Xenopus tropicalis: one gene and its partner. The protein of the gene in region 2 purifies or fractionates together with the protein of the main gene of each other region. This does not show direct contact. Links are inferred from orthologs where the notes say so. Each region holds a gene or a part of one and is shown on either strand. Other genes may lie near its edges. The genes, in order: ctnnb1 and ahr.

The links.
Region 1: the proteins of ahr (region 2) and ctnnb1 purify together in Homo sapiens (affinity purification with western blotting; 4 studies listed by BioGRID and IntAct, with this or other methods). This does not show direct contact. The link is inferred for Xenopus tropicalis from reciprocal best matches to the Homo sapiens genes AHR and CTNNB1.

The regions. Positions count from the first base shown.
Region 1 is NC_030682.2:53,370,978-53,374,802, forward strand, and holds part of ctnnb1 (catenin beta-1), read left to right. Parts: intron 1-142; coding exon 143-344; intron 345-850; coding exon 851-995; intron 996-1,210; coding exon 1,211-1,314; intron 1,315-1,391; coding exon 1,392-1,730; intron 1,731-2,565; coding exon 2,566-2,724; intron 2,725-2,805; coding exon 2,806-2,925; intron 2,926-3,825. UniProt on the Homo sapiens protein: Key downstream component of the canonical Wnt signaling pathway.
Region 2 is NC_030682.2:37,604,938-37,609,208, reverse strand, and holds the start of ahr (aryl hydrocarbon receptor), read right to left. Parts: upstream 2,924-4,271; 5' UTR 2,660-2,923; coding exon 2,604-2,659; intron 1-2,603. UniProt on the Homo sapiens protein: Ligand-activated transcription factor that enables cells to adapt to changing conditions by sensing compounds from the environment, diet, microbiome and cellular metabolism, and which plays important roles in development, immunity and cancer.

The DNA of each region.
Region 1 (3,825 bases), about 16 Mb from region 2:
AAGACTAATCAAAGCTCTGCTGGGCATGGTGTAACAGGACTTATAGAAAATATTTATGTTCTTTACTGCTAAAAATATAAATATTAAAGTAATGTCAGTATCACTTGTTTTTTTGGCATTCACTTATTTTCTCATTTTACAGCTCCCCAGTTGATTCTGTACTGTTCTATGCCATCACAACACTGCACAATCTTCTTCTTCACCAAGAAGGAGCAAAGATGGCTGTACGCCTAGCTGGTGGCTTGCAGAAAATGGTTGCCCTTCTCAATAAAACAAATGTCAAGTTTTTGGCAATCACAACAGACTGTCTTCAAATATTGGCCTATGGAAATCAAGAAAGCAAGGTTTGTAGAGTTTTTCATGGATTAAAACTGATCTACAGATATTGAAGTTAATCTCTAGTGCTATACACAACTGACTTTGAGATTTGGTAGTATGTATTTAGCCAATTTAGGACTAAGCGTAGACCAAATCTGTGACACTTCCTTGGTAAAAGAAGCAGTGTATGTTTCCACCAGCAATTAATTTTGCCAGTGGGAAGGCATTGGGGAAGATTTGTCACCATTGTGCCTTACCCCAATGTAAAAGATAATGCTTTGAAACATTGTAAACAAGACACTTGTGGAAATCTGCCAAAATACAGCAAAATATAATATATCAATGTGTCATGGCAAGGTTTGCTCTCAGTGTCAACAGTGTAGAAATAAGACTAGCCAGTTTTAAATGCCTTCAGTTTTAAAAATGCACTGTATTTTGCCCTCCAGTCACTTTAGTGCATGAAGGAAAATTTTGTATAAATGCTTGTTATGCAGCTTGTATATGAACTTCATAGGATATTTTGTGCTTTTAGTTGATTATTCTTGCAAGTGGTGGACCGCAAGCTTTGGTAAACATAATGAGGACTTACAGTTACGAGAAACTTCTGTGGACCACAAGTCGGGTGCTTAAAGTGTTATCTGTGTGCTCTAGCAACAAGCCTGCTATAGTTGAAGCTGGTAAGCTTACCTTTCACTGTTATTCAAACCATCTGAATTGCATCCTTTAATCTATGCCATGCTGTTGGCAAAATCAAGGGTGGAAACTTAGAAAAATTAAGTCTACAACTCACGAGCTTCCATCAGTGCAGACTTAACAATCTGCAGCCCTGTATAGTTTCAGAAAAACTTTGTACTGATTGAGCTTAATTGACTGTCTTCTGTTTGCCATCTAGGTGGAATGCAAGCTTTAGGACTCCATCTTACAGACTCAAGCCAACGTCTTGTTCAAAATTGTCTTTGGACTCTAAGAAACCTTTCAGATGCCGCAACTAAACAGGTTATTAATGTTTTTCTTTAGGCCACTAGTGTTTAACTGTTTAGTGTGACTTTACTAAATATCTGTATTGATTTTAGGAGGGAATGGAAGGTCTTCTTGGAACCCTGGTTCAGCTTCTTGGATCAGATGACATTAATGTAGTAACTTGTGCAGCTGGTATACTGTCCAACCTTACATGCAACAACTACAAAAACAAAATGATGGTTTGTCAAGTTGGAGGCATTGAAGCCCTTGTTCGCACAGTTCTACGTGCTGGGGATAGAGAAGACATCACTGAACCTGCAATTTGTGCACTTCGTCACCTTACCAGTAGGCATCAGGAAGCAGAGATGGCTCAAAATGCAGTACGTCTTCATTATGGGCTTCCAGTGGTGGTGAAGCTCTTGCACCCTCCTTCACACTGGCCTTTGATAAAGGTAAGTAGGTTATACATAGGGTGCCCTATGGCTCACTCCAGAGTTCAGTCTGGTTTTTATTAATGGTCTGACGGGGAAAATTAAACTTCAGCTCATGATCAATACTTCAACCTCAGATTCTTGTATTACATAAACTAGACCAGTGATGCTCATGGTCTTTATCAAAGTCATTCTTAGCCTACAGTAAGTTTTGCTGCTTATGCTGCCTTCATAAACACATAACTGGTAATTTGTAATCATGGCAATTGTTTTGGCAAGAACTGACATCTGACCACACTGATTCTCTTAGGCTTTGGGTAATGGATTTGTAATTTAAATTTAAAAACTGACCACGTACGGTTACCAAATCGAATGAAAATTTGAAACTCGAGTTGCAGTATTGTGAATCTAGATCACTGAGCTTAGTCTTTAACCTCTTGTTGGCATCCTGTATAGAATGTGTAAGGCTGTATCAAAGTCTCCTAAATTACTACAAAATAACATGGTGGTAAAGTGTTAAACGGCTATTTGTTAACATCTCATATAGGCTTTGGTATAACCATTACAGTGACCAAAAAAAGGCTAGTGGTTGAAAACAAGTAAAATGTTTCAGTGACTTGGTCCCTAGAAAGTTTTTTTTATTTATTTTTTTTTTTTTTCCCCCTCATGCCTTCTTTTGACAAAATAGTACATCAGAAATTAGTTTGTCTGAAAACTAAAAATGTCTAGTAGCTGAACTACCCCACAAAGCTAAACTGTCAGCAAGGATTCCCATGCCAAGTATATAACAGTGATTTATAACTCGTGTTTACACTGTACCTCAGTCTTATTTCATTTTTTTTTTAAATTTTTTTAGGCTACAGTTGGCCTGATCCGCAACCTTGCTCTTTGTCCAGCCAATCATGCCCCACTGCGCGAGCAGGGTGCTATTCCTCGACTTGTGCAATTGCTTGTTCGTGCACACCAGGACACACAGAGGCGCACTTCAATGGGTGGAACACAACAGCAATTTGTGGTATGTAATTCTTTCAAGCTTGCCTATACTTAGATACATGTGTGCTTAAGGTTGCCTACAAGTTCTGATTTCCACTTTCAGGAGGGTGTCCGTATGGAAGAGATAGTTGAAGGCTGCACAGGTGCCCTTCACATTTTGGCTCGTGATGTCCACAACCGAATTGTAATCAGAGGTCTTAACACCATTCCATTATTTGTGCAGGTAAGACTTTAGTTCAGGGCAGTTTTAATGGAATGAAAAGGGAGAATTTAGCAGGATCTTTAAAGGATAGACTGGGAAATTAGTCAATTGGCATTTCTCGGTTTATGGAAGTTGGTCTCTTCACTTTTAAACTATCCATAAAACTAATCGGTGCCCCTTGGGAGTTTGAATGTGTTGGTTTGATAAAACAATAAGGTTTGTCTCGCACACACTAAAAATTCAAGAGTATGCAGTCTGAAGTATATGGTCCCCTGATCTTGCTGTTGTGTAAAAGGGACTCTAGCCACTTTTCAACATGAGTTTTATTAACAGAGCTTTTGCTGAACAAATTTTTCTTTAATATTTAACTGGTAAAATGGGCAAAATTTGCTCAGTATGGTTCTTAGATTACCAAAACAGATAATCCACTCAATTCTATTGGACACTTATCTGCTCAGGGAATCTACCTTGCAATGGTGCACTGCATTGCTCATGATTAAATCAAGAGGAGACAGGTTTTCAGCCAAGCCCTATTTCTTGAACTTGTGGATTTCTGTCCTTTTAAAAATTGTCTAAAAGAGGACATGCTTGGCTTATTAAACAGTAACACTGCTAGAATATTTTGCAGTATATTTAAACTAAACGCACTACTGGCTTGGCTAGCCCAAAATGTTACAAATTTAAATGGAAACCATGATTGTTTCTTTGCTTACAGGTACCAGTTCCTGACTTAGGTTAAACTAAATCTTCCCCAATCTATGGAGGAGCTCATGTCAGGGGCAGTATCTCCCAAGCGAGCGGATCTTCTCCCGATATCCCCACCTACAGGCGGGCGATATTGGGTGATTTCAGGCTAATTCCGACCGAATTAGAACTGCAGTATATAGTCTGTTCAGGGGCCATATGAACGAGCTGATGTCG
Region 2 (4,271 bases):
ATGCATTTGGAGGCACTTTAGTCCACTGTGAACAGAACTATTATTAGATTTGGCCCAGTCACATCACTGAAGGAGTAAAAGATGGGTCTCCAAGAGCTAGAACTTACAAGAACACACAGAGTACATCCCATGCCACAAAGCAGGGAGCCAGGAGGATCATTTTAAGACCCTCTCTGGCAACAGGATTTGTAAAGCTCAGTATTAATCTAGTTAGCCAATCCAGTTACACATAGTACATATTACGCTAATGATTCCAGTACACATATACAAAAAAGGTAAATAAATAAAGCCATGGTAGGGCTCTGAACAATTTTAAAAGTGTCAAAGGAGTATTTAATTTTGATGGCAAACCCTTTTTATATGAACACATTCCCAAACATATCATTGCTGCCACTGATCCCTCAGACAAAAAAATAAAATTAGAAACATCAAAAATATATCATTACAATCAATTTATTGACTAGAGTCATAATTGAAATGGGACACTTTACCCTTTAAACCCATCTGGGATACTGTGTGTCATTTTTAGAAGTACAGAAATAATATTCTATTGCTACTTTTTTCAAGCATACCTTTTTACACCAATCAGCTTAAGGTCTCTCAAAACACTTTATCAAAGTTTAGCAACAATCAATATTTGAATATTGTCCTTTGCTAAACAATTTTGGAAAATGCATATTTGGCCAACCAGGCACTAATTTCTTTCAGAACAGACCAGTTGTTTTGTGCAATGGTTACATAACAGCTGAGTTTTTTTGACCATCTGAATCGCCAATACTTAAAAATGCATAACATACAGCATCTGAAGAAACACTGCTGAGATCTATACTTCAACAAATGCTATAACTGGGGCCAAAGTTACTACATAGACACCTAAAATCAGGAAGGTACAACAATCATCCTTCCAATACAGCAGCCCCCCCCCCCCCCCCCCGCCAAATGCCTTCAGCTGCCCAAGTGTAGCTCAAAAGCAGTTTTAGGGTCACATGTTGAGAATCCCCCTTTATACAGTCTTCCGACATAGATGGTCTTACCCAGTGTGCAATAGGGAATTGGATAAACCTATTATGTAGACAAAATGATCCCCCCCAAAAAACAGTCTGTGGATTAAATACCTTGCACAGACATTGACAGTGTATATACCAAGCATTACATTATATCTTATATTGTGATGCACTGATCTGTAATGTTTTGAACAGTTTAAATTATGGTGACCATTAATTCAATAAATTAAATAAATTTATACTGTTAAAACAAAAAAGTATTACAAAGCTATTTATAGTTGCACCATGCACCAGCTATCCAAGAGTTCCTTATTTTTTTTATGATTATCACTGTTTTACCAGAGTCTATGAAAAATATTTATGACCTGGACAGCAGTATGTCCACCACTTACGGGAAAAGGCTCTAAATATCACCATACAGAAATGAACCCACACTCATTACATAGTTATATATATATATATATATATATATATATATATATATATATATATATATATATATATATATATATATATATAGTACACTTTCCCTAATAAATACAATGGTAGTAATCACTAAGGCGCATCTTCCAAATAGGCAGAAAGACAGGGACCCCCACCCCCAAACAAACAATAAGCACAGTACTACATCATCTGGAAACCTGCAAGCTGGGCATGCTTGAAGCATATACAGAAAGTATCTCAAAAGGCCTTTCTACTTATATTTATGCCCCCATCCCCACAGCAAGCTCAACTGGAAGACTGTAAGATGGCATGCCTGACGTATACGCAGAATGAATCTAACAAGTCCTTTACAATTATAGCTTATATCCCTCTCTGCAGGGCAACATCAACTGGAAGACTGTAAGATGGCATGCCTGACGTATACGCAGAATGAATCTAACAAGTCCTTTACAACTGTACCTATATCCCTCTCTGCAGGGCAACATCAACTGGAAGACTGTTGGGCATTACCTGATGCACATACAGAACATTCCTAACAAATCATTTGCACTTGAACCTATGGCCCCTTCCCCAGGCCAACATCAGCTGGGCATTCCTGATGCATATACAGAACGTATCTAACCAACGTATCTAAATTCTTTCCACTCAATTCTATGGCCACTCCGCAGGGCAGCACAAGCTGGGCATTGCTGATCACATACAGAACACACTACTTCAAAATCATCTGCCCTTGAATCTATGGCCCCTGCCCCAGGCCAACATCAGTTGGGAATTGCTGATGCACATACAGAACGTATCTAACAAGTTCTTTCGACTGAAATCTATGGGCACTCCGCAGGGCAGCACAAGCTGGGCACTGCCGATGCACATACACAACACAGCAAACAAGTCATCTGCCGTTGAATCTATGGCCCCTTCCCCCGGCCAACCTCAGCTGGGTATGCCTGATGCACATACAGAACGTATCTAACAAGTTCTTTCCACTTGTCTGTATGCCCCTCTGCAGGACAAATGCCCTTGCTGCCCTATTGCTCGCAGTTGTTGAGCCAACACTGTCAGTGCCGTCGCTCTAAGGCTGCGATTTCTAGTTACCCCAAGAGATGGGACGCAATTTTTGCCCTCCCGCCCCGGCCCAGCACTTGGGTGCTTTCTTACGTTTTCTGGACGGGTTTTCTTCTTTTCCTGCTGGCGTACATGATGTTGGCGTTCATCCCGTCCACTTCTACGCCGCGGAGACACGCCAAGGAATCCAACTTCCAAATTCTAAATATTTAATGGCTTTCCTCCCTTTCACCCTCCCCCCTTGTGCCTGCCCGGCACCGTATCCGTAAATAGTTACAAAGTTCCGGTAAGAAGGCAAAAACGGGAGTTTCCGTGAATTCTACTTTTCCTCAAGTCACTTGAAGCGTATGCAAGCACACGCATGCGCAGAGCAGGGCCTGACGTTGCTTGACTGAGGCACGCCCACGTAGGGATGCGCATGCGCGTTAACTGGAGCGCGCCTAAGTGTGCGCGTATTGACAGATCTATTAGGTGGGACGGCGTTAAACAGCGCCCGTCACTTTCTTGATAAAGTGTATGCTAGATACAATTCAGTAAAATAGACGTACAGCAAGTCAGTATTTTAAAGAATTAAAAAATTATTAAATTGTATTTAAAAAAATAAAATAGTGAATCTGGGGATTGCTGTTGTAAAAAAATGCGTTCTTGCCGGAAGAGGTGTTTCAGGAAGAAAGGCGCGGAGAATAGTAACATCGAGTGCGAGTGTTTTGTCCCGCCTGTCTGCATTTCTGAGTGAAAAAAATTACAGTCCTAAACTGTTCATAGCTGAGGGCATTGTGCTGCTTTATGTGCCGGATACATTGGAGGAACTGTGGCGCCCTGGCTGTACTGCCTTATGCAAACACTTCTACTGCTGAACAGTTAGGGGCCTGTTTGTTATGCTGTGTACAACGAAATGTATCAAAAAACAGCTTAAAAGCTGTGTAAAATAATGGCAAGATTATCAAGGTGTGTTTTGTTTTACACCGTCTGAACGCCAGATTTGATGCCATTCTTTGCATTAAAAAAATTATACTGTATATTTCCCCAAGAGTATACTGCATTGAATACAAAATAGGGTCAGGAAAAATGCATGTAACGCACTCTGGAAGGGGGGACAGCATATATGTACTACAGCATTGCATCGGGGACAGTATATATGTACTACAGCATTGCATCGGGGACAGTATATATGTACTACAGCATTGCATCGGGGACAGCATATATATGTACTACAGCATTGCATCGGGGACAGCATATATGTACTACAGCATTGCATCGGGGACAGCATATATATGTACTACAGCATTGCATCGGGGACAGTATATATATGTACTACAGCATTGCATCGGGGACAGCATATATGTACTATAGCATTGCATCGGGGACAGCATATATGTACTATAGCATTGCATCGGGGACAGCATATATGTACTATAGCATTGCATCGGGGACAGTATATATGTACTACAGCATTGCATCGGGGACAGTATATATGTACTACAGCATTGCATCGGGGACAGCATATATATGTACTACAGCATTGCATCGGGGACAGTATATATATGTACTACAGCATTGCATCGGGGACAGCATATATGTACTATAGCATTGCATCGGGGACAGCATATATGTACTACAGCATTGCATCGGGGACAGCATATGTGTACTACAGCATTGCATCGGGGACAGCATATATGTACTACAGCATTGCATCGGGGACAGCATATATGTACTACAGCATTGCATCGGGGACAGCATATATGTACTACAGCATTGCAT